Saccharomyces cerevisiae S288C: one gene and its partners. Changing the gene in region 2 together with the main gene of any one other region gives a genetic interaction. Each region holds a gene or a part of one and is shown on either strand. Other genes may lie near its edges.

Region 1 (7,854 bases), on a different chromosome or scaffold from region 2:
GTCAAGCTTCTTTTTTTTTTCACAATATATGGAAAAAAATTTATCACCCATACATACCACTAAATGTGTTATATATTTGAGAACACCTTTACATCCTAATGTTTAATGGAAAAAACAGTCCTCGAAGAGCATCGTATTTGTAGAAGGAACCAAGTAAATTAGTATACAATGTACAATGTACATTCTTCAGATGGGAAGGTGATGAAAGTCATACTTCTATGGGCTTTATATTATAAAGCTAAAAAATACGTAGTAAAATCCTAAGTTCTAAAAGACGCTATTAAGACTTGCCCTTAATCTCTTTCGGCAGCAATGGCTTCCATTTCCATGTCAACGCCTAATGGCAATGCTGCAACAGCAACGCATGATCTGGCAGGTTTGTGAGTATTGAAGTACTTGGCGTAAACGGAGTTAAACTCAGCAAAGTGATTGATATCTGCCAAGAAAATGTTAACTTTTACGACCCTGTCCAATGAGGAATTGCTTGCTTCTAGAACATTCTTAATGTTTTGAATCACCTGTTCAGCCTTATCAGCAATGGAACCTTCAACTAACTTGTTGTCTGGGGTCACTGGAATTTGGCCAGAAAGGAAAATCAAATTGTTCACTTTCATGGCATGGGAGTATGAAGCCGCAGCAGCTGGAGCGGATTCACAAATAACGGGAGTTAGCGTGGTGACCATAATTCTAATGTAATGATGATGTTCGAAGGGTAAATTTTCTTTCGCTTTTTCGTGGAAACCAAATATCAAAGTTGTTCCTTATCATGTATCCGTTTGATAATGAAGTAAATTAGTATTTCTTTTGTAGGTCAGCAGCTCGCGCTATGGAGAAAGGAGTTATAATGAAACCACGTGAGCACGATGAAATAGCAATATGTTACTATTGATTACCGGATTAGAATGGTTAAAATGGTGAAATAAGAAGAATGATTATTGTGTGCTCAGTATCGGTTGAAACCACTAGTTTTGGCGCTTGACTCCACTCGTGAGTCATGTTTGGACTATATATGTGCCTTGAATATATATAAATATATATATTGCTATATGATCCCGCTGTTTCCAAGAGTAGTAATTACTAGACGGCTGTTGGCATATGTCAATGAGAGATTAGTGTACTCTTCGTACCATCAATCCGCCCATAATCTTCTAAGTGATCTTCCGATCGTATCCATCGAACTTTACTAAAGGCTCTTTTCGGGGTTACCCCTAAATTTTCAGTATTTGATTTGTATTAATGTTTAGCATTCAGGTAGTCGTAGTAAACGGACACATTTGACATTCAACGACGGTACACACGGTAGGAGACGTCAATTTCGGCTGAGATGAGTAGGGCTAGCAAGATAACGTTTGCAGCTTCCTGTCTGATAACGGCAGCGACGGTAGTGGGCGTGCATTATGTGCAAGAAATGGAAAGGGAAACTTTGCATCAGGGTCCGATAAAAGATGCTAAACGAGTCGAAGAAAAGAGGTTGAGAAAGACAAACGGAGTTGCATCATTAGATCCCACAAAAGAAAGGAAAAGGTACTTCAATATGAGTGAACACGAGGAACAAAAAGAGTTGCGAAAGAAGTATGAGACCATGCAACCGCTTAGTGGAGAAGTTGTGACCAAAGATGGAGAGGTGGTTAAAGAATCTAAGAAATAAACACCTGTCGGCAGTAGTTTACCTCTCTATTATAGACTACTCTTGTTTGTATATATGTAAGAATCGTGTAATTATTTTCAAGAAGCCTTCAAATTGAAGGAATAATCTAAAACTCGAATAATATCAATGTTAATCAATAACTATAATCAAGACCTTAATGTGCCTGCTTGCCCCTTTGGGGATTTTACCTCTATTTTGAAATTCCATTCAATCAATCTCTCGACGATCTCTAAGGTAAGATCTCGCCTTGATGTGGCTCTTTTTCTTCCGCCCTTGCGGAAAAAATCTGAATGAACGTAATTTACCTAAGAGATAACAAGGCTAACCTTGATAGAACCTTAAAAAACAGTATTGGTAATTGCAATAGCACCAACCGTAAGTGAGCTAAACTAGTGAAAGATTTTCTAAATCATAACGCGCGGAATTCCAGTTAATATATTACGTAGTCATCCCTCATCATAGAACTGTTTTTTTTTTTTGCAAAGTATTGAACCAGTTATTAGTTAAGTTAATTGTAGCAAATAGCGCCGGTATGTCTATCAAAGGTGATTCCCCCTCATCAACAAATGCCAGTAGTAGTCCGAAGTCTACATATTCAATACAATCGGATGATAAAGCAAACCTTGGCAGTGGTAACGTCGATATACGTACAGATAATTCACAACAGGACAGTAATAATAGACGCGATATTGTGGTAGTGACGAGGGTAGCTTCTGAAGAGACTTTAGAATCACAATCATCTACTTCATCAATGGGAATTAGACCAGAATCATCTTTTAACTATGAGGATGCTTCTAACCAAGCTAGGGTCGAAATGAATAACAGGGTACATGGCTCAAATATGAACACAATTAACAAATATTATCCAGTACGATTCCCAAAGAATAACGAAAGGCAATTGAGCGACACAAATAATTTAAATGAGAAAGTGCAAGGCACACATACAGTTCAATCATCCACCCAGGAAGACAAAATACTCGACGGTGACACAAGCAACTCACAAGTAACCCCGTCTTTGAACATTGCAGAGTTTCCCACAGACAAGCTTCTTAAAATGCTGACAGCGTTACTAACTAAAATTATTAAGTCAAATGATAGGACGGCAGCGACAAATCCTAGTTTGACACAAGAGATTGAGAATGGTAGGTGTCTTGCTTTAAGTGACAATGAAAAGAAATACTTAAGCCCCGTTCTGGGGTTTAGAGGGAAGCACGTACCACAAATTGGTCTTGACCAATATTTCCAGAGGATCCAGAAATATTGCCCCACAACGAATGATGTATTTTTATCGCTCCTCGTGTACTTTGATAGAATATCCAAGAGATGCAATAGTGTCACTACGACCCCTAAAACTAATACTGCAAAACATGAATCTCCCTCAAATGAAAGCTCTCTAGATAAAGCTAACAGGGGCGCTGACAAAATGTCCGCATGTAACAGTAACGAAAATAATGAAAATGACGATTCAGATGATGAAAATACAGGAGTTCAAAGGGATTCAAGGGCTCATCCTCAAATGTTCGTAATGGATTCACATAATATTCACAGATTAATCATAGCAGGTATTACTGTCAGTACGAAGTTTCTGAGCGATTTCTTCTATAGCAATTCAAGATACTCAAGGGTAGGTGGGATATCTTTACAAGAACTCAACCATTTGGAACTGCAGTTTCTAGTTTTGTGTGATTTTGAACTTTTGATATCAGTCAATGAATTGCAGAGATACGCGGACTTACTATACAGGTTTTGGAACAACGCAAAAGCTCAATCGCAAGCACTAGTTACGGGCATGTAGAAATGCGTAATATGCAAGTAGATATATTTACATACACAGTTTCTCTCAAAGGTAGTAATTATCTTATGTGTTAACGTACGGTTGCTAAGAAATAAGCATGGTAACTTTCTTAGGTAATTCTTTGGTATTAAGATATATTCTGAATTACGGTTTGGACTACTTTATTGTTCAGAGATAAGAAACATGTTGAGCAGCACTTTATGGTGTTGCTATATTCCCGTTCAAATACAACAGCAACAAAAAATGCTTATCCCTCATCAAATTGAACAGAAAAAAAAAAACCATATTATTTTATTCAAGCTTATCGCATGATAGACTGTATATGGAGCAGTCAAAATTGACTGCTAACTGAGTTTTCATTTTGGAAATCTTATCATTTTGCGTTCACCGATTCTAACTTATTTTCATCACGAATACGAGAAGGGCAAAGGTGCCGGCGTCATTATGTGACGGAAAGAAAAATTCGATAAGGCCTTTTTTTTTTCACTCATCGTATTGCCAAGCAATTTTAGTCAGAAGTAACACGTATATATATAAGGGCGTAGACGTCCCTCTTAACAGATACTCTGTAGTCCGTGCTAACGTAAACACAGCATTAAAAGTGCTTGTTACTTCACTATTATTAGCATTGAGGCGCGTGTGCTCGGAAAACCTACCATATTATAAAAGGGCTAACAAATATGCCTCAAACGCACGAAATGTCCCTGAACGGCACTCAATACTTAAAATATGAACTTAAAGACCTTGAGTCTCGAGCTCACGATGCAAAGACTCCTTCAACAAATGAATTCTATGATGATGTAGAATCGCACGGAACAGAAGAATTAGTTGAAGCTAAACTGTCGTTTTTGAACAGAATTGCTGCTGGTTTAAGTGCCGAGACAAAGGGTATTGAACCGATTACAGAAGATGAAAAAACTGATGATTCTATACTGAACGCTGCATCTATGTGGTTTTCAGCAAATATGGTTCTGCCTGCTTATGCCATTGGCGCCCTAGGGCCTATGGTGTTTGATCTAAATTTCGGCCAAAGCGTTTTCGTTATTATTTTCTTTAACCTCTTAGGCTTGGTATCAGTTGCTTTCTTTTCTGTTTTCGGTGCAGAGCTGGGCCTAAGACAGATGATTTTGTCTAGATATTTAGTTGGCAATATCGCAGCCAGGATCTTCTCTTTCATCAATTTTATTGCCTGTATCGGTTGGGGTATCGTTAATACCGTAGCAAGCTCGCAAGTCCTGAATATGGTTAACCCCGGTCATCAATGTCCTCTCTGGGCTGGTTGTATAGTTATTATCGGTGCTACTGTAATTGTAACTTTTTTCGGCTATGGAGTCATTCATGCTTACGAGAAATGGGCGTGGGTACCAAATTTTGCCGTTTTTTTGGTAATAATTGCTCGTTTGGCAAGGTCTAAAAAATTTGTCCTTGGGGAGTGGACATCTGGTCCTACTACAGCAGGTAACGTGCTTTCATTTGGATCAACAGTTTATGGGTTTGCTGCAGGCTGGACAACATATGCGGCTGACTATACCGTTTATATGCCAAGGAAAACGAACAAGTATAAAATTTTTTTCTCGCTTGTAGTTGGGTTAGCAACACCATTATATTTTACTATGATACTTGGTGCAGCTGTAGCAATGGCAGCTATCGGCGATCCAGCCTGGAAGACGTATTATGACGAAAATTCCATAGGTGGTTTAACTTTTGCCGTTCTTGTCCCTAATTCTGTTCACGGATTCGGTCAGTTCTGTTGCGTGTTATTGTCTCTGTCCACTATCGCTAATAATGTTCCCAACATGTATACTATTGCTTTATCGGTGCAAGCCACGTGGGAACCTCTTGCGAAAGTCCCAAGAGTTATTTGGACTTTATTAGGCAATGCGGCCGCACTGGGTATTGCCATTCCTGCCTGCTACTATTTTTCTACCTTCATGAATTACTTCATGGATTCCATAGGTTATTATTTGGCTATTTATATTGCCATTGCATGTTCAGAGCATTTTATTTATAGGCGTTCCTTCAGTGCTTACAATGTTGATGATTGGGATAGTTGGGAACGTCTACCTATCGGCATTGCAGGTACTGCTGCCTTAATTGTTGGTGCCTTTGGCGTAGCGTTGGGTATGTGCCAAACTTATTGGGTTGGCGAGATCAGCCGTTTGATCGGAGACTACGGTGGTGATATTGGATTCGAGTTAGGACTAAGTTGGGCATTTATAGTTTACAACATTGCTAGACCCTTTGAGCTCAAGTACTTTGGTCGTTAACGAAAGTTCATTTAAATGTTTCGCTATTTTAGTCTTTGTAATGTAACATAAATGGCTCTAGTATGCAAATCATTAAAAAATAGCATGTATGTTAATTAAATTATCACGGCTCATTCATTTGAGTTGATAACGCAATTCTGATAAGCATATCACGTGACTGTGGTTCTAAGAGTTACTCCGATCGCCAGTAAATACTTTATGAGACGTTGCATTATTTCTGTTTAGTTGATAAATTTTGATTTCTAGTCTGTTGAAAGCCTAATGCATGCAGATGACATAAATGTAGTCTGTTTTTGCACTGGTGATTTGTAAACCAGACAAATATATAACATGATAACCAAATTGTTTGTTATAAGATACGCTTGTCAGATTGAAATGGAGGGTGTTTCAGAAGGTGACTAAAATATCGAAGAAAAGTATGCCAGAAAAGTTAGCCATGTCAATGGTCGATATAAAAGATGCGGGGAGTGAACTAAGGGACCTCGAATCTGGAGCTCTGGACACAAAATCTTCCGCCGCTGATGTATACTATGAGGGTGTAGAATTGCATAGAACCAACGAATTCATTGATAATAAGCCGTCCTTTTTCAATAGGATTGCAGCTGCTTTAAATGCTGAGACGAAAGGTATTGAACCAGTTACAGAAGATGAAAAAAATGATGACTCGATACTCAATGCCGCCACTATATGGTTTTCAGCTAATATGGTGATTGTAGCCTATTCCGTAGGTGCCTTGGGTCCTCTAGTATTTGGCCTAAATTTCGGCCAAAGTGTTTTAGTTATCATTTTTTTCAATATTTTGGGTTTGATCCCTGTTGCATTATTCTCACTTTTTGGGGTAGAACTGGGCCTAAGACAGATGATTCTATCGAGATATTTGGCTGGTAACATCACAGCAAGATTTTTCTCTCTTGTTAATGTCATTGCTTGTGTCGGTTGGTGTGTTTTAAATATTTCTGTTTCTGCTCAACTTTTGAATATGGTGAATGAAGGCTCTGGGCACAACTGTCCTATTTGGGCAGGTTGTTTGATTATTGCTGGTGGTACCGTGCTTGTGACTTTTTTTGGTTACAGTGTCGTTCATGCATACGAAAAATGGTCGTGGGTACCCAATTTTGCTGCCTTTTTGGTCATTATTGCCCAACTATCGAGATCAGGAAAATTTAAAGGTGGTGAATGGGTAGGGGGTGCAACTACTGCAGGTGGTGTTCTTTCTTTTGGTTCATCTGTTTTTGGGTCAGCTGCGGGTTGGGCGACTTATGCAGCAGATTACACTGTTTATATGCCAAAGACCACAAGTAAATACAAAATTTTTTTTTCCGTAGTAGCCGGTCTAGCGTTCCCTCTATTTTTCACCATGATTCTTGGTGCTGCTTGCGGTATGGCGGCCCTTAATGACCCAACCTGGAAGTCATATTATGATAAAAACGCCATGGGTGGTGTCATATATGCTATCCTGGTCCCTAACTCTCTAAACGGATTCGGTCAATTCTGCTGTGTTTTGTTGGCTCTTTCAACTGTTGCTAATAATGTCCCTGGAATGTACACTGTCGCTTTATCCGCTCAAGCTTTGTGGGCACCTTTGGCTAAAATACCAAGAGTAGTCTGGACAATGGCAGGTAATGCTGCCACTTTAGGTATTTCCATCCCTGCTACCTATTACTTTGACGGCTTTATGGAGAATTTTATGGATTCCATTGGTTATTATTTGGCTATTTATATTGCCATTGCATGTTCAGAGCATTTTATTTATAGGCGTTCCTTCAGTGCTTACAATATTGATGATTGGGATAATTGGGAGCATCTACCTATCGGTATCGCAGGTACTGCTGCCTTAATTGCTGGTGCCTTTGGAGTAGCGTTGGGTATGTGCCAAACTTATTGGGTTGGTGAGATCAGTCGTTTGATCGGAGAGTACGGCGGTGACATTGGGTTCGAGTTAGGCGGAAGTTGGGCGTTCATCATCTATAACATTGTAAGACCTTTAGAACTCAAATATTTCGGTCGATGACTAAATGTTAATTGATTAATATTTTTGCTAATCATTGAAATGATTGGTTTTAATGGATAAATCTCGACATTCGAATAGATAGCATATAATTCAAAAACGATTATAATGGGATATATATATAAGTTTAATAATA
Region 2 (9,539 bases):
GTCATTTGAAATTATGCACTGTGAAAAAAAGAAACAAAGACCAAAAGAATAATATAAATAGTGAAGTAAAATGTGTTGTAATGCACATGGATCTTGTACTGCTCAAACTTAATATTTCTATTGTAGAAAAATTTTCGATTTAAAATTGTGAAACCGATTATATAAAAGTATATTAGCTGACATTAACGTCTCAAAACCAGGTCAATAGCTTTAAAAATAAAAATAAATCCCTGCAGAATACTCGGAAAGAATATGTCACGTAAGAGCTCGACTGAATATGTGCATAATCAGGAGGATGCTGATATCGAAGTATTTGAATCAGAATACCGCACATATAGGGAATCTGAGGCGGCAGAAAACAGAGACGGACTTCACAATGGTGATGAGGAAAATTGGAAGGTTAATAGTAGTAAGCAGAAATTTGGGGTAACGAAAAATGAGCTATCAGATGTCCTGTACGATTCCATTCCAGCGTATGAAGAGAGCACAGTCACTTTGAAGGAGTACTATGATCATTCTATCAAAAACAATCTAACTGCGAAATCGGCAGGAAGTTACCTCGTATCTCTTTTTCCTATTATAAAATGGTTTCCTCATTATAACTTTACGTGGGGCTATGCTGATTTAGTGGCAGGAATTACAGTTGGCTGCGTACTCGTGCCCCAATCTATGTCATACGCACAAATCGCTAGTTTATCTCCTGAATATGGTTTGTATTCCTCCTTTATTGGTGCGTTTATATATTCTTTGTTTGCCACATCGAAAGATGTTTGTATTGGTCCGGTCGCTGTAATGTCACTACAAACTGCCAAAGTCATTGCTGAAGTTCTAAAAAAATATCCCGAAGACCAGACAGAAGTTACAGCTCCTATCATTGCAACTACCCTTTGTTTGCTTTGTGGGATTGTCGCCACTGGGTTGGGTATACTGCGTTTAGGCTTTTTAGTGGAACTTATTTCTCTAAATGCTGTTGCTGGCTTCATGACCGGTTCCGCATTTAACATCATCTGGGGTCAAATTCCGGCTCTCATGGGATACAACTCATTAGTGAATACCAGAGAAGCAACGTATAAGGTTGTAATTAACACTCTGAAACATTTACCAAACACAAAGTTAGACGCCGTTTTTGGCTTGATTCCGTTGGTAATCCTCTATGTATGGAAATGGTGGTGTGGTACATTTGGTATAACTTTGGCAGATAGATATTATCGAAATCAACCAAAGGTAGCAAATAGACTGAAATCCTTCTATTTCTATGCACAAGCTATGAGAAATGCCGTCGTCATAGTAGTTTTTACTGCCATATCGTGGAGCATAACAAGAAACAAATCTTCAAAAGACCGTCCAATCAGTATTCTGGGTACAGTTCCCTCGGGCTTAAATGAGGTGGGAGTTATGAAAATCCCAGACGGTCTGCTATCTAATATGAGTTCAGAAATACCTGCTTCAATTATCGTTCTGGTGTTAGAACACATCGCTATTTCAAAATCCTTTGGTAGAATTAACGACTACAAGGTTGTCCCTGACCAAGAACTTATTGCGATTGGTGTGACAAATTTGATAGGGACATTTTTTCACTCATATCCAGCAACTGGGTCATTTTCCAGATCTGCTTTGAAAGCAAAATGTAACGTGCGCACTCCGTTTTCTGGGGTATTCACTGGCGGTTGCGTTCTATTAGCACTTTATTGTTTAACTGACGCCTTCTTTTTCATTCCTAAAGCGACACTATCGGCGGTTATTATTCATGCTGTTTCTGATTTGCTGACTTCTTACAAAACCACCTGGACCTTCTGGAAGACCAACCCGTTAGATTGTATCTCATTTATCGTTACAGTGTTCATCACAGTATTTTCATCCATTGAAAATGGTATATATTTTGCAATGTGTTGGTCATGTGCAATGTTACTATTGAAACAGGCTTTCCCTGCTGGTAAATTCCTTGGTCGTGTTGAGGTGGCAGAAGTATTGAACCCAACAGTACAAGAGGATATTGATGCTGTGATATCATCTAATGAATTACCTAATGAACTGAATAAACAGGTTAAGTCTACTGTTGAGGTTTTACCAGCCCCAGAGTATAAGTTTAGCGTAAAGTGGGTTCCGTTCGATCATGGATACTCAAGAGAATTGAATATCAATACCACAGTTCGGCCTCCTCCACCAGGTGTCATAGTCTATCGTTTGGGTGATAGCTTTACTTACGTGAACTGCTCAAGGCATTATGACATTATATTTGATCGTATTAAGGAAGAAACAAGGCGAGGCCAACTTATAACCTTAAGGAAAAAGTCAGACCGTCCATGGAATGATCCTGGTGAATGGAAAATGCCAGATTCTTTGAAATCACTATTTAAATTTAAACGTCATTCAGCAACAACGAATAGTGACCTACCGATATCGAATGGAAGCAGTAACGGAGAAACATATGAAAAGCCGCTACTGAAAGTCGTCTGCCTGGATTTTTCCCAAGTTGCTCAAGTGGATTCAACCGCTGTTCAAAGCCTGGTTGATCTGAGAAAAGCTGTGAATAGGTATGCGGATAGACAAGTCGAATTCCATTTTGCCGGAATTATATCTCCATGGATCAAAAGAAGTCTTTTGAGTGTTAAATTCGGAACTACAAATGAGGAATATAGTGACGACTCTATTATCGCTGGCCATTCTAGTTTTCACGTTGCAAAAGTTTTGAAGGATGATGTGGATTATACTGATGAAGACAGCCGTATAAGCACATCTTACAGTAACTATGAAACATTATGTGCTGCAACTGGGACAAATTTACCGTTTTTTCATATCGATATACCCGATTTTTCTAAATGGGACGTTTAGTGTAGTAGATAGTAAGTACTTTAATTACCCCCCCTGTTTTTAGTTATACATGAAAAGATAATTGTGTTATTAATGTAGATTACCATCAAATAGCTGGAATATTTATTATTTTGAGTATGTTGAATGGCGAAAGTAAAAATAAATTTTATAATTTCCTGAAAGCATTAGTACACGAAAAGGGCCGTTTTCAGTAGTTTAAGGCGCTGAAAAGACATGGTCTAGAAGTTAACTTGAGCTTGAGCCTATTTTCTACAAATGTCCTTTGAAAATACAAAAATAAAAATAAAAATGCATTTAAGTATTAAGCTTATGCTAGATAGAGCAACATTTTCCTAATTTTTTTTGAATTTATTTCATGGTTTTTAGGCGGAAAGAGTTTGGACGGCTTGTCTCTCCTAATGTGGAAGAAATTATGTTTTGTTATGAATCTGAAAAGAAAAATACTATTTTAGCAATACAATGAATTTTAAAAAGTTACCCTGTACTTTAATCCTTCAATTAAAACACTTCTTAAAATAGTATATTTTGAAGATCATCGATATATATACAGAGGCAGTTTTGCAAGGCAGATAACGTTATTGAGTTGTATGTAGGCTGTGTGATTTTAATCTCATAAATCAATAATGGAATAATTTTCTTATTGTTAATATCGATTTATATTTTCCAACAATACAATGAAGTAAGTACTATTTCTATTTGGAAGGAATTCATTCCCCATTTTAGCTCCTCGAGCGGATGAATCCATCACTGTTTTGAAGAAAACCAACAAAGTGTCAAATAGTTGTCTTTTTGAAATTGGTTCTGAAGAGTTTTCGGAAAATGATCTGATAACAGGCCTTTCTAAAAATATAAGGTTGAACGAATGTATGGGTTAGGTAATCAAAATTTAGGCGCCAACAAGGAATTTTTCTTTAAAATCGCATGAAAAGCCTACACTTGGCATAAATAAGGTGCAATTATAAATATAAAAGCAAGATATTTTCGAGATGCTTCCAGGATTTATACAATGAAAGAGCCCAAAGCTGCTGATAACGATGAAGCCGGAAAAACTCTTCTCCGGTTTAGGTACCAGCGATGGCGAGTATGGAGTGGTAAATAGCGAGAACATATCAATAGATGCTATGCAAGATAATAGAGGCGAGTGTCATCGTAGATCCATAGAAATGCATGCTAATGACAATCTGGGATTGGTCTCCCAGCGAGACTGTACCAATCGGCCCAAAATTACTCCTCAGGAATGTTTGAGTGAGACTGAGCAGATATGCCATCATGGCGAGAATAGGACTAAGGCTGGGTTAGATGTAGACGATGCTGAAACCGGTGGTGATCACACCAATGAATCCCGTGTAGATGAATGTTGTGCTGAGAAAGTGAACGACACTGAGACTGGCTTGGATGTGGACAGCTGTTGCGGCGATGCTCAAACAGGTGGTGACCACACCAATGAATCCTGTGTTGATGGATGCTGCGTTAGAGATTCTTCAGTGATGGTCGAGGAAGTTACAGGCAGCTGCGAAGCTGTATCTTCTAAAGAACAATTGCTGACCAGCTTTGAAGTTGTTCCAAGCAAATCTGAAGGTCTGCAATCTATTCATGATATTAGAGAGACAACTCGCTGCAATACCAATTCCAACCAACACACAGGGAAGGGTAGGCTTTGCATCGAATCAAGTGACTCTACACTCAAGAAAAGAAGTTGTAAAGTTAGCAGACAGAAAATTGAGGTTTCCAGTAAGCCTGAGTGCTGCAACATTTCATGTGTTGAGCGGATTGCATCTCGTAGCTGTGAAAAGAGGACTTTTAAAGGTAGCACCAATGTTGGAATTTCTGGGAGTAGCTCTACCGACAGTTTAAGCGAGAAGTTCTTCAGCGAACAGTACTCTAGAATGTACAATCGTTACTCCTCAATTTTGAAAAATTTAGGTTGTATCTGTAACTATTTGCGTACTTTGGGAAAAGAATCTTGTTGTCTCCCAAAGGTGCGTTTTTGTAGCGGGGAGGGTGCTTCTAAAAAGACAAAATACTCCTACCGCAACAGTTCTGGATGTTTAACAAAGAAAAAGACCCATGGAGACAAAGAAAGGTTGAGCAATGACAATGGCCATGCTGATTTTGTTTGTTCTAAAAGTTGTTGCACTAAAATGAAGGATTGTGCTGTTACCTCAACTATTTCTGGACACTCTTCGAGTGAAATTTCAAGAATCGTATCAATGGAACCAATTGAAAATCATCTTAATCTTGAGGCAGGATCTACCGGTACCGAGCACATTGTTCTTAGTGTTTCAGGAATGTCCTGTACTGGTTGTGAATCAAAACTTAAGAAATCATTTGGCGCGCTCAAATGTGTTCACGGTTTGAAGACCAGTTTAATATTATCGCAAGCTGAATTTAATCTGGATCTTGCTCAGGGATCTGTCAAGGATGTTATCAAGCACTTGAGCAAAACTACTGAATTCAAGTACGAACAGATTTCAAATCATGGTTCAACTATAGATGTTGTTGTTCCTTATGCAGCAAAAGATTTTATTAATGAGGAATGGCCACAAGGTGTCACAGAGCTGAAAATTGTTGAGAGAAATATCATTCGTATTTACTTTGACCCAAAGGTTATAGGTGCCAGAGATCTTGTCAATGAAGGATGGAGCGTGCCTGTTAGTATTGCTCCATTCAGTTGTCATCCAACCATTGAAGTGGGAAGGAAGCATTTAGTTCGTGTAGGCTGCACGACCGCTTTATCCATAATATTGACGATCCCGATTCTCGTGATGGCTTGGGCTCCACAGCTTCGTGAAAAAATTTCCACTATCTCCGCGTCAATGGTGCTAGCAACTATTATTCAATTTGTTATTGCAGGACCGTTTTACTTAAATGCCTTGAAGAGTTTGATATTTTCCAGGCTCATTGAAATGGATCTACTAATAGTTTTAAGCACTAGCGCTGCCTACATATTTTCGATTGTATCATTTGGATATTTCGTTGTTGGACGCCCGTTATCTACGGAGCAGTTTTTTGAAACCAGCTCTTTGCTTGTAACTCTCATCATGGTTGGTCGCTTTGTGAGTGAACTAGCTAGACATAGGGCTGTAAAGTCAATATCAGTACGTTCCTTACAGGCCTCTTCTGCTATTCTGGTGGATAAAACTGGTAAAGAGACGGAAATTAATATTAGACTTCTCCAATATGGCGATATTTTTAAGGTTTTACCTGATTCAAGAATCCCAACTGATGGAACAGTCATTTCTGGGTCTTCTGAAGTCGACGAAGCGTTAATCACAGGTGAATCTATGCCAGTCCCGAAAAAGTGTCAATCAATTGTTGTTGCAGGATCGGTGAATGGCACTGGTACTTTGTTTGTGAAGCTGAGCAAGCTTCCAGGGAACAATACTATTAGTACCATAGCCACGATGGTTGATGAAGCAAAATTAACTAAGCCAAAGATCCAAAATATCGCTGATAAAATTGCAAGTTATTTCGTGCCAACTATCATTGGAATCACTGTCGTCACCTTTTGCGTTTGGATAGCGGTTGGAATCCGTGTGGAAAAGCAATCCCGCTCCGATGCCGTAATTCAGGCCATTATATATGCCATTACGGTACTTATCGTTTCGTGTCCCTGCGTGATTGGACTTGCCGTTCCTATCGTATTTGTTATTGCAAGTGGCGTCGCTGCGAAAAGAGGGGTAATCTTCAAATCAGCAGAGAGTATAGAAGTTGCTCACAACACTTCGCATGTTGTCTTCGATAAAACGGGTACCCTAACTGAAGGAAAACTTACTGTAGTACATGAAACTGTTAGGGGTGATCGTCATAATTCTCAATCTTTGTTGCTTGGATTAACTGAAGGAATAAAACACCCAGTTTCCATGGCAATAGCATCCTATCTCAAAGAAAAAGGTGTTTCTGCTCAAAATGTTTCTAATACAAAAGCTGTGACTGGTAAGCGGGTAGAAGGAACATCATACTCTGGTTTGAAGTTACAAGGAGGGAACTGTCGTTGGCTTGGTCATAACAATGATCCTGACGTTCGAAAAGCCCTTGAACAAGGATATTCTGTATTCTGTTTTAGTGTTAATGGTTCAGTCACTGCAGTTTATGCATTAGAGGACTCTTTACGGGCAGATGCTGTCTCCACTATTAACTTGTTACGCCAAAGAGGGATTTCACTACACATTTTATCAGGGGATGACGATGGAGCCGTTCGTTCTATGGCAGCCCGTCTTGGAATTGAAAGCTCCAATATTCGTTCTCACGCAACGCCTGCAGAAAAGAGTGAATATATTAAGGATATTGTCGAAGGAAGAAATTGCGATAGTTCTTCGCAGTCAAAAAGACCGGTTGTTGTTTTTTGCGGTGACGGAACAAACGACGCAATTGGTTTGACTCAAGCAACGATTGGAGTTCATATCAATGAGGGAAGTGAGGTTGCCAAGCTAGCTGCTGATGTAGTTATGTTAAAGCCAAAGCTCAACAATATTTTGACTATGATAACTGTAAGTCAAAAGGCCATGTTTAGGGTCAAATTGAATTTCTTATGGAGTTTTACTTACAACTTATTTGCTATCCTTTTGGCGGCTGGTGCCTTTGTTGACTTTCATATTCCACCAGAGTATGCGGGTTTAGGGGAACTAGTTAGTATCCTCCCTGTAATTTTTGTAGCTATACTTCTGCGTTATGCAAAGATTTAGTCCAGGTACTGCTGCTATTTGATTGTAGATTTTCTTTTTTCTTTTCTTTTTTTTTTTTGACGACTCTGTAATACTCTATTTATTATTTAGTTTAGTTTTCTATTTAATATGATGGAATTCATAAAAAAAAAAAATACACATAGCCATGCCAGGTAATTGCAGATCAACTGATAAATTAGAAAAAAATTAATGCATCTTTAAGGTTTTAAATTAGAAATGTTTTAACTTTAAAGTCACTGAGCAATAAAAGTTCTACCTAATGTTGTAAAACTGTATTCATAACCGAAACACATTATGATTATGTCATTTGGTATTCCACACCAAAGCGAGGAGCATTCAAAATGATACCATTTATGATACCGGCAATCAAACCAGCAATTGGTAAAGTTAAAAACCAACCAGAATAACACCAGGCTACCATTCTCCAATTAACTGATTTGAGATCCTTGTTACATAAACCAACAGCGACAATACCACCAACGGCGATCTGGGTTGTTGAGGTAGGAATACCTAATTGGGTAGCCATGACAGTAGTAATAGCAACAGCTAGTTCAATTGAAAAGCCTCTTGATGGCGACTGCAAAATCATCTTATTACCTAGATTTTTGATAATATTGTAACCATAAGTCCAGCAACCAATAACTAAGGCAACACCACCATAAGCCAGAACCCACACGGGAACTTCGGACTTTGCCCCAATAGTGTTAGTTTTCCAGATCACATACACAGCAGACAAAGGACCAGTAGCGTTGGCAACGTCATTAGCTCCATGAGCAAAAGACATAGTGGCTGCAGTAATGGCTTGGAGAACCGAATAGATATATTCTACTCTATTGTCGTAAAATTTAGATCTTTCGTACATTCCTTTCAGGTCACCAGATAACATATCTCTATCATTAACTTGAGCATGAATGACGTCTTGAGTCCAACCATGAGAGATTACTAACCAGAACAATAAGGGCCATTTTTTAGGTCCTTGCTTTAATAATGACCACCAATATTGTTTCGTTGACAACTTTGTTTCTGGTTCAGTTTCAGTTCTAACCAGGTCCACTTCCTGGATGTCTTCTTTGTTTTTGACGGAATCATTAGAATTACTCGCTGCCTTATTTTCTTCGTCTTCAACAGAAACAGTTGTTCCAAGATTTCTTCTGCCCTCGTAATAATCGATTGTTAATTGATGGCCTTCTGGCATTGGTGGGATATCATCAGTGGACTTAAAGTAAAAAGATGGACCTCTGAAAATATCAATCAACTTTAGTGTCCAATCTTGGTCCAAAACTTTTCTTCTGTAGAATGGGTAGAAAAAGATGAAGTAAACGATCGAAGCAATTGCACCTGTGAGAACAATAGATACGGCAGTTTCAGTTTCAGATAAATCGTCCAAGTGTAGGTTTGGAGAACCCTTCCAGACAATCAACATTGTTAAGATAGAGAAAGTGGCGAATACTAAAACACCAACCAGCAGTAAAGCATTCTTAATCGATCTTTCCAAAGACTTAACTTCAAGGACAGAAAACCTAGAAATTGAAAAAACTATAGCTGCGATCGCGCCTGCCAAAATCGGAGCAATGAACCATGACGCAATAATTTGAGAAACACCACTCCAACCCCAAACGACACCGTTAGCTCCACCGGCTGCAATCCCAGCGCCAATTGTACCACCAACAATGGAATGTGTAGTAGAAACTGGCATTCCGATTGCAGTAGCAAATGTTAACCAACAAGACGAGCCAATCAAAGCACTGGTCATAGTAAGCATTAAAACAGCGGGGTCGTTGGTAAAAATGGAGGAATCTATAATGTTGTTCTTGATAGTACCAGAAACTCTTGCGCCTGCCAAGACAGCACCCAAGAACTCACAGAGACCCGCCAAAACCATGGCTTGCCAGTATTTTAGAGATCTAGAAGAGATCGACGACGCGAATGAGTTCGCCACGTCGTTTGCCCCGATGTTAAAGGCATCCAAAAATGCAAATAACATGGCAATGGCAAAAATATAGTCAAATTGATGTAAAGCCA
Region 3 (6,985 bases), on a different chromosome or scaffold from region 2:
GGTTTTGTTAAAGACCTCCAGGAGTTTACGTACCAATCTTCGGAAGGTTTAACATACCTATCTTTATAACGTTGGTTAAATTCCTGTTTAATTTGAGGCAGTTGTTTTAATTCAATATCAGGCTCTAATCCTTTTGTTCGTTGCAGAAAGTCTTTGTTTATTGATTCTATATCTTTCTCCGGTCCAACCGAACGGTCTACAACTGTCTCTGTAGCTTGATCATTATCTAGCTCTCGTGTGTGATCTAGTTCTACTTTTGCTTGCTGCTTACTCTTACTTCGCTGTCGTTTGCCTCTGGTAGTTACTCTGAAGCAAGGTGTGTAGGAATGAAAGCTCCTTGCAATTAGAAGAACATGTACTTTCCGCCTAACTACCATCACCTGTCTTTATTTATTCCGCTGACAGATATGCACAACCAATTATCGTCTCTTGAAAGCTTTTTAGACGTGATTGCTGTTATTTGGCACGTTGTTAGTATTTAAGCTTATTCGGGTTTGCATTGATATTTGCCCGAGCAGAAATCTCCTTCTCGATGAGTTAGAACTGAAACATCTCTTCAATTACTTATACATAATAAACATAGAAAGCCAGGACCTGTCATCATGAGTCATCCGATTCAATTTGTAAACGCTAATAATAGCGATAAGAGCCACCAATTAGGCGGTCAATATTCTATTCCTCAGGATTTGAGGGAAAACCTGCAGAAAGAAGCTGCACGTATTGGTGAGAACGAAAAAGATGTGCTACAGGAAAAAATGGAAACTAGGACAGTGCAAAATCGAGAGGATTCATACCACAAAAGAAGGTTTGATATGAAGTTTGAGCCGGATTCCGATACACAAACTGTTACGTCTTCAGAAAATACCCAAGACGCTGTCGTGCCAAGGAAAAGAAAATCTCGTTGGGATGTAAAAGGGTACGAGCCACCTGATGAATCTTCAACAGCGGTCAAAGAAAACTCTGATAGTGCTTTGGTTAATGTAGAAGGAATCCATGATTTGATGTTTTTTAAACCTTCTGACCATAAATATTTCGCCGACGTTATATCCAAAAAACCCATAGATGAGTTAAATAAGGATGAAAAGAAAGAAAGAACCCTGTCGATGTTACTTCTGAAAATAAAAAATGGCAATACAGCGAGTAGGAGGACTTCTATGCGGATTTTAACCGATAAAGCTGTTACATTTGGTCCAGAAATGATATTTAACCGCTTATTGCCCATATTACTAGACAGAAGTTTGGAAGACCAGGAAAGACATCTAATGATCAAGACCATAGATCGCGTCCTTTACCAGCTAGGAGATTTAACAAAACCTTACGTTCACAAAATACTTGTAGTAGCTGCCCCATTGCTAATAGATGAAGATCCAATGGTTCGTTCAACAGGCCAGGAGATAATCACCAATCTGTCTACAGTCGCTGGCCTAAAAACCATTCTAACAGTAATGAGACCTGATATTGAGAATGAGGATGAGTATGTTAGAAATGTAACTTCAAGAGCGGCGGCTGTGGTGGCAAAAGCCCTTGGTGTTAATCAATTGCTTCCTTTCATCAATGCAGCATGCCACTCACGGAAGTCTTGGAAAGCAAGGCATACTGGCATAAAAATTGTGCAGCAAATAGGTATACTTTTGGGAATAGGTGTCTTGAATCATCTTACTGGGCTGATGAGTTGTATCAAAGACTGCCTAATGGATGATCACGTTCCGGTGCGAATTGTTACAGCACATACTTTATCAACACTAGCAGAAAATTCTTATCCATATGGTATCGAAGTTTTCAACGTTGTACTGGAGCCATTATGGAAGGGTATAAGAAGTCATCGTGGTAAAGTGCTATCTTCTTTTTTAAAAGCTGTTGGATCTATGATCCCATTGATGGACCCAGAGTATGCCGGTTATTATACCACAGAAGCAATGAGAATAATTAGACGTGAATTCGACTCTCCCGATGATGAAATGAAAAAGACCATTCTTTTAGTATTACAAAAATGTAGCGCTGTAGAATCCATAACGCCAAAATTTCTGAGAGAAGAAATCGCGCCAGAATTCTTTCAAAAATTTTGGGTCAGACGAGTGGCATTGGATAGACCATTAAACAAAGTTGTTACATATACTACTGTTACATTAGCAAAGAAATTAGGTTGTTCTTATACCATTGATAAATTATTAACACCATTGAGAGATGAAGCTGAGCCGTTCAGAACAATGGCTGTCCATGCTGTTACTAGAACAGTAAACTTATTAGGGACAGCAGATTTAGATGAGAGATTAGAAACGAGGCTTATTGATGCGCTCTTGATAGCATTTCAAGAACAAACAAATAGTGATTCTATAATCTTTAAAGGGTTTGGGGCAGTGACGGTGTCACTTGACATCCGTATGAAACCGTTTTTAGCACCCATTGTGAGTACGATTTTAAATCATTTAAAGCATAAAACTCCCTTGGTTCGTCAACATGCAGCAGATCTATGTGCCATACTAATACCAGTCATCAAGAACTGTCACGAATTCGAAATGTTGAATAAATTGAACATTATATTGTATGAATCCTTAGGCGAAGTATATCCAGAGGTATTAGGTTCTATAATCAACGCTATGTACTGTATTACTAGCGTAATGGATTTGGATAAACTACAACCTCCTATTAATCAAATTTTACCAACCTTAACTCCAATTTTAAGAAACAAGCATAGAAAAGTCGAAGTAAACACTATCAAATTTGTTGGACTTATTGGTAAATTAGCACCTACCTATGCACCTCCTAAAGAATGGATGAGAATATGTTTTGAACTATTAGAACTTTTGAAAAGTACAAATAAAGAAATAAGAAGATCAGCAAATGCCACGTTTGGATTCATTGCTGAAGCAATTGGACCTCACGATGTTCTTGTTGCGTTATTGAACAATTTAAAGGTTCAAGAACGTCAGTTACGTGTATGCACGGCTGTTGCTATCGGTATCGTTGCTAAAGTGTGTGGTCCTTACAACGTGCTGCCAGTAATCATGAATGAATACACAACACCAGAGACTAATGTTCAAAACGGTGTTCTCAAGGCCATGTCATTCATGTTTGAGTACATTGGTAACATGTCTAAGGATTACATATACTTCATAACACCATTATTAGAAGATGCACTCACCGATAGGGATTTAGTTCATCGTCAGACAGCGTCGAACGTAATAACCCACTTAGCTTTAAACTGTTCAGGTACAGGTCACGAAGATGCCTTCATTCATTTAATGAATCTTCTAATACCCAATATTTTTGAAACTTCACCACATGCTATTATGCGTATTTTAGAAGGTTTGGAGGCACTGAGTCAAGCTCTTGGCCCTGGACTATTCATGAACTACATATGGGCAGGATTGTTCCATCCAGCGAAGAATGTAAGGAAAGCATTTTGGAGGGTGTATAATAACATGTACGTAATGTACCAGGACGCCATGGTACCTTTTTACCCCGTTACACCAGACAACAATGAAGAATATATAGAAGAACTGGATTTAGTTCTGTGAATATATATAGAGCATATAAATAACCACAACTTGTAAGAATATTTTACTTGACACACCTATATCATCACGTCACGATGCCTTCATAGATTATGATGAAATATAAACAGAACCTGCTATTGGAAAAAAAAGGGCAGGAAAAAATTTTGTGAAAGTGAGTAAAAGAAAGATGAAGAGCGAGACATGGATAATAAGAAATAGATGTCACTAATGGACAATTGGAAGACTGATATGGAAAGTTACGATGAAGGAGGCCTAGTTGCTAATCCGAACTTCGAGGTTCTGGCCACTTTCAGGTACGACCCTGGTTTTGCACGCCAGTCAGCGTCAAAGAAAGAGATCTTTGAAACTCCAGACCCTCGATTAGGTTTGAGAGACGAAGATATTAGGCAGCAGATAATTAATGAGGATTACTCAAGTTATTTACGAGTAAGGGAGGTTAATTCCGGCGGTGACCTTCTCGAAAATATTCAGCATCCTGATGCTTGGAAGCATGATTGCAAGACCATTGTGTGCCAGCGTGTAGAAGATATGCTACAAGTCATTTATGAACGATTTTTTTTATTAGATGAACAATACCAAAGAATAAGAATAGCATTATCATACTTTAAAATTGACTTCAGCACGTCTCTGAATGATTTATTGAAGTTATTGGTTGAAAACTTGATTAATTGTAAAGAAGGAAATTCAGAGTATCACGAAAAAATTCAAAAAATGATCAACGAAAGGCAATGCTATAAAATGCGGGTACTTGTCTCTAAGACAGGAGATATACGAATTGAGGCAATTCCAATGCCTATGGAGCCTATCCTAAAATTAACAACCGATTATGACAGTGTTTCCACATACTTCATCAAAACGATGCTCAATGGATTTTTAATTGATAGCACAATAAATTGGGATGTTGTTGTTTCATCTGAACCATTGAACGCATCAGCTTTCACCAGTTTTAAAACCACTTCAAGAGATCATTACGCTAGGGCGAGAGTTCGCATGCAAACTGCTATAAATAACTTAAGAGGTTCAGAACCTACTTCTTCTGTCTCGCAATGCGAAATTTTATTTTCCAACAAATCTGGCCTGCTGATGGAAGGTTCAATAACAAACGTGGCTGTAATTCAAAAAGATCCTAACGGTTCTAAAAAGTATGTGACACCAAGATTAGCAACTGGATGTTTGTGCGGAACAATGCGTCATTATTTATTGCGGCTCGGCCTTATTGAAGAGGGAGATATAGATATAGGAAGCCTTACCGTTGGCAACGAAGTTTTGCTTTTCAATGGCGTCATGGGATGCATAAAGGGAACAGTGAAGACAAAATATTGAGCAGACGACAGATTTTCATATCAATGAAGTTTTTTTACAATAGTTTACAAATCATGATTTTACATACTCAAATATGTGCAGGTTGATACAGACAACGTACGTAGAAGACAACAAACAGAAAACAGCGGTTTATACATTTATTTAAATGACATACAGTGGAGAAGCAGAGAAAGGAAAAGGAGTGCGATGAGAACAGAAGATGAATACTTCGGTTGTGTTGGTTCCACGTACACATTAATAGCATTAAAAATTGATCCTCTGAAATTACTTATGAGTTTTACGTCTTTTGGTATTTGGCGTTTTTCCACTGGCACCAATTGTAATGTTAACCTTTGGAGGGACTGGAAAACCGTAAGACTTTGCTACTTTGGCTAAATCCAGCTTATCGATTTGATAGACAGTTTTCAAAGAGTGGGAAGCGTACGCTTGTAAATAAGATCTATAACCATCCTTGGCTGTTTGATGTAGATAATAGTTGGATTTAATTAATTTTTCTAATTGTGATTGAACGTTTGCAATTTTGTTTTCCGGGAATTCGTACTCATTTAATGGGACCTTGGAAGCCTTTAGATATCTTAAAAACCCTAATTCATTAGGTGTTAAAAACATTAAAGATTTACCCTTACCTTTAGTGCCTCTTGCGGTTCTTCCGACTCTATGAATATAATCTCTTGGATCATCAGGAGGGTCGAATTGAATGATCCAGTCCACAGCAGGGATATCTAGCCCTCTAGCTGCGACATCTGTACAAATCAAGATACCTCTTTCCGCATTACAGAATTCGAAAAATGTATTTGTTCTCTTTTGTTGTTTTTGCTTACCGTGTAATTCGAGGACTGGCAAATCAATATAGTTCAATAATTCAGCGTAATATTTCACAGAGTTACAAGATGATAAAAATACAATAATTTTCTTTTTTTGATTTCTTTTCAAGAAAGAAAATAACAACAAAAATCTCTTATCACTGTCACATACCACATAGCCTTGTTCTAATCCATCTGCGGTGGAGTTGTCGGTTTCAGGAACGACATTAATGAAAAGAGGGCCCGGTCTCAGCGAGATTCTAGCCAAATCCTCAACTTTGGTCGTTTGTGTAGCTGAAAATAACATGGATTGCCTATCTTCGTTTGGCAAGATCTTAATTATCTGCCTCATTTCATCTTCAAACCCAATTTCTAAGATTCTGTCCGCTTCATCGATAATCAAAGCCTTCAAGTTCTTGAATACAAATCCTTTTGTATTTTGTAAGTGATCCAATAATCTTCCAGGGGTAGCAATCAACATGTTAACACCTTTCATCAATTTTTCGGCTTCCTGTCTTCTATTTGCACCACCAATGACAATACCAAATGTCTGTGAATGGAATTCCATTAACTCTCTTGCCACTCCAAAAATCTGTAAAGCCAACTCTCTTGTAGGCGTAATGACAATTATACCGGTACCATTTCTTGGTTTGAATTTCAAAGAATGCAATAGTTCAATAGCAGGGATGAGAAACGCTAGAGTTTTACCAGAACCTGTCTTGGCAGCACCAAGAACATCCCTACCGGCCAAAAGAGGTGGGATAGTCCTTGCCTGAACAGAAGTCATAGTGGTAAATCCCATCTTTTCAATGGCCTTTAAAGTTGGCTGTGATAACTTTAGTTCTTCGAACTTTTCCACACAAGTAGTTTGTTCTCCCTCAGGTGCGGCATTGTTTTGTTTTGAAGTGCTCTTTTCATCTACTACAGGTTCTTCTGTAGATTCAGAATCTCTAGAACGTTTATTTGACGGGGTAGCCATACTTCTCCTGTTAATATTGCTCAGCTTATCTAATTATTATAGTATACAGTTATCCAATAGCTATGTACTCAAGTACCGTGTATACACTATAAAATCTCATCTCATCGCTAAAGCTAATATTGAAAAAAAAAAAAAAAAAAAAAAGAAAAAGCAAATAAAAAATTTTCAATTCGGGTAACGAAGAATCGACTCTCGCCGGGTAAACAATTCTTAGTCGTCATACACTCCTCTTTACGTTAAGAAAATAGAAGTAGCAGCGCTTTGTAAAGCATTAAAGCGTCATGGATTGCAAAATACACATAATATATCACTTGTGATAGTGAGAAATGGAATGAAGTGGTTTAAGATGCTCTTTTACCAAT

Evidence for each region. A genetic interaction does not mean that the proteins touch.
Region 1: mutations in PCA1 (region 2) and FCY21 together harm fitness more than expected from each alone (negative genetic interaction), as found in Saccharomyces cerevisiae (one large-scale study listed by BioGRID).
Region 3: mutations in PCA1 (region 2) and ABZ2 together harm fitness more than expected from each alone (negative genetic interaction), as found in Saccharomyces cerevisiae (one large-scale study listed by BioGRID).

What each region holds. Positions count from the first base shown.
Region 1 is NC_001137.3:270,444-278,297, forward strand, and holds FCY21 (purine-cytosine permease), read left to right. Parts: upstream 1-4,123; coding exon 4,124-5,710; downstream 5,711-7,854. Other genes in the region: putative isoleucine biosynthesis protein HMF1, read right to left, coding at 294-683; PET117 (Pet117p), read left to right, coding at 1,325-1,648; PCL6 (Pcl6p), read left to right, coding at 2,181-3,443; FCY22 (purine-cytosine permease), read left to right, coding at 6,129-7,721. UniProt on the Saccharomyces cerevisiae protein: Probable purine-cytosine permease.
Region 2 is NC_001134.8:788,983-798,521, forward strand, and holds PCA1 (cation-transporting P-type ATPase PCA1), read left to right. Parts: upstream 1-3,866; coding exon 3,867-7,517; downstream 7,518-9,539. Other genes in the region: SUL1 (sulfate permease), read left to right, coding at 253-2,832; PHO89 (Pho89p), read right to left, coding at 7,816-9,539.
Region 3 is NC_001145.3:844,969-851,953, forward strand, and holds ABZ2 (aminodeoxychorismate lyase ABZ2), read left to right. Parts: upstream 1-3,716; coding exon 3,717-4,841; downstream 4,842-6,985. Other genes in the region: DSS1 (exoribonuclease II), read right to left, coding at 1-377; U2 snRNP complex subunit HSH155, read left to right, coding at 603-3,518; ATP-dependent RNA helicase HAS1, read right to left, coding at 5,106-6,623. UniProt on the Saccharomyces cerevisiae protein: Converts 4-amino-4-deoxychorismate into 4-aminobenzoate (PABA) and pyruvate.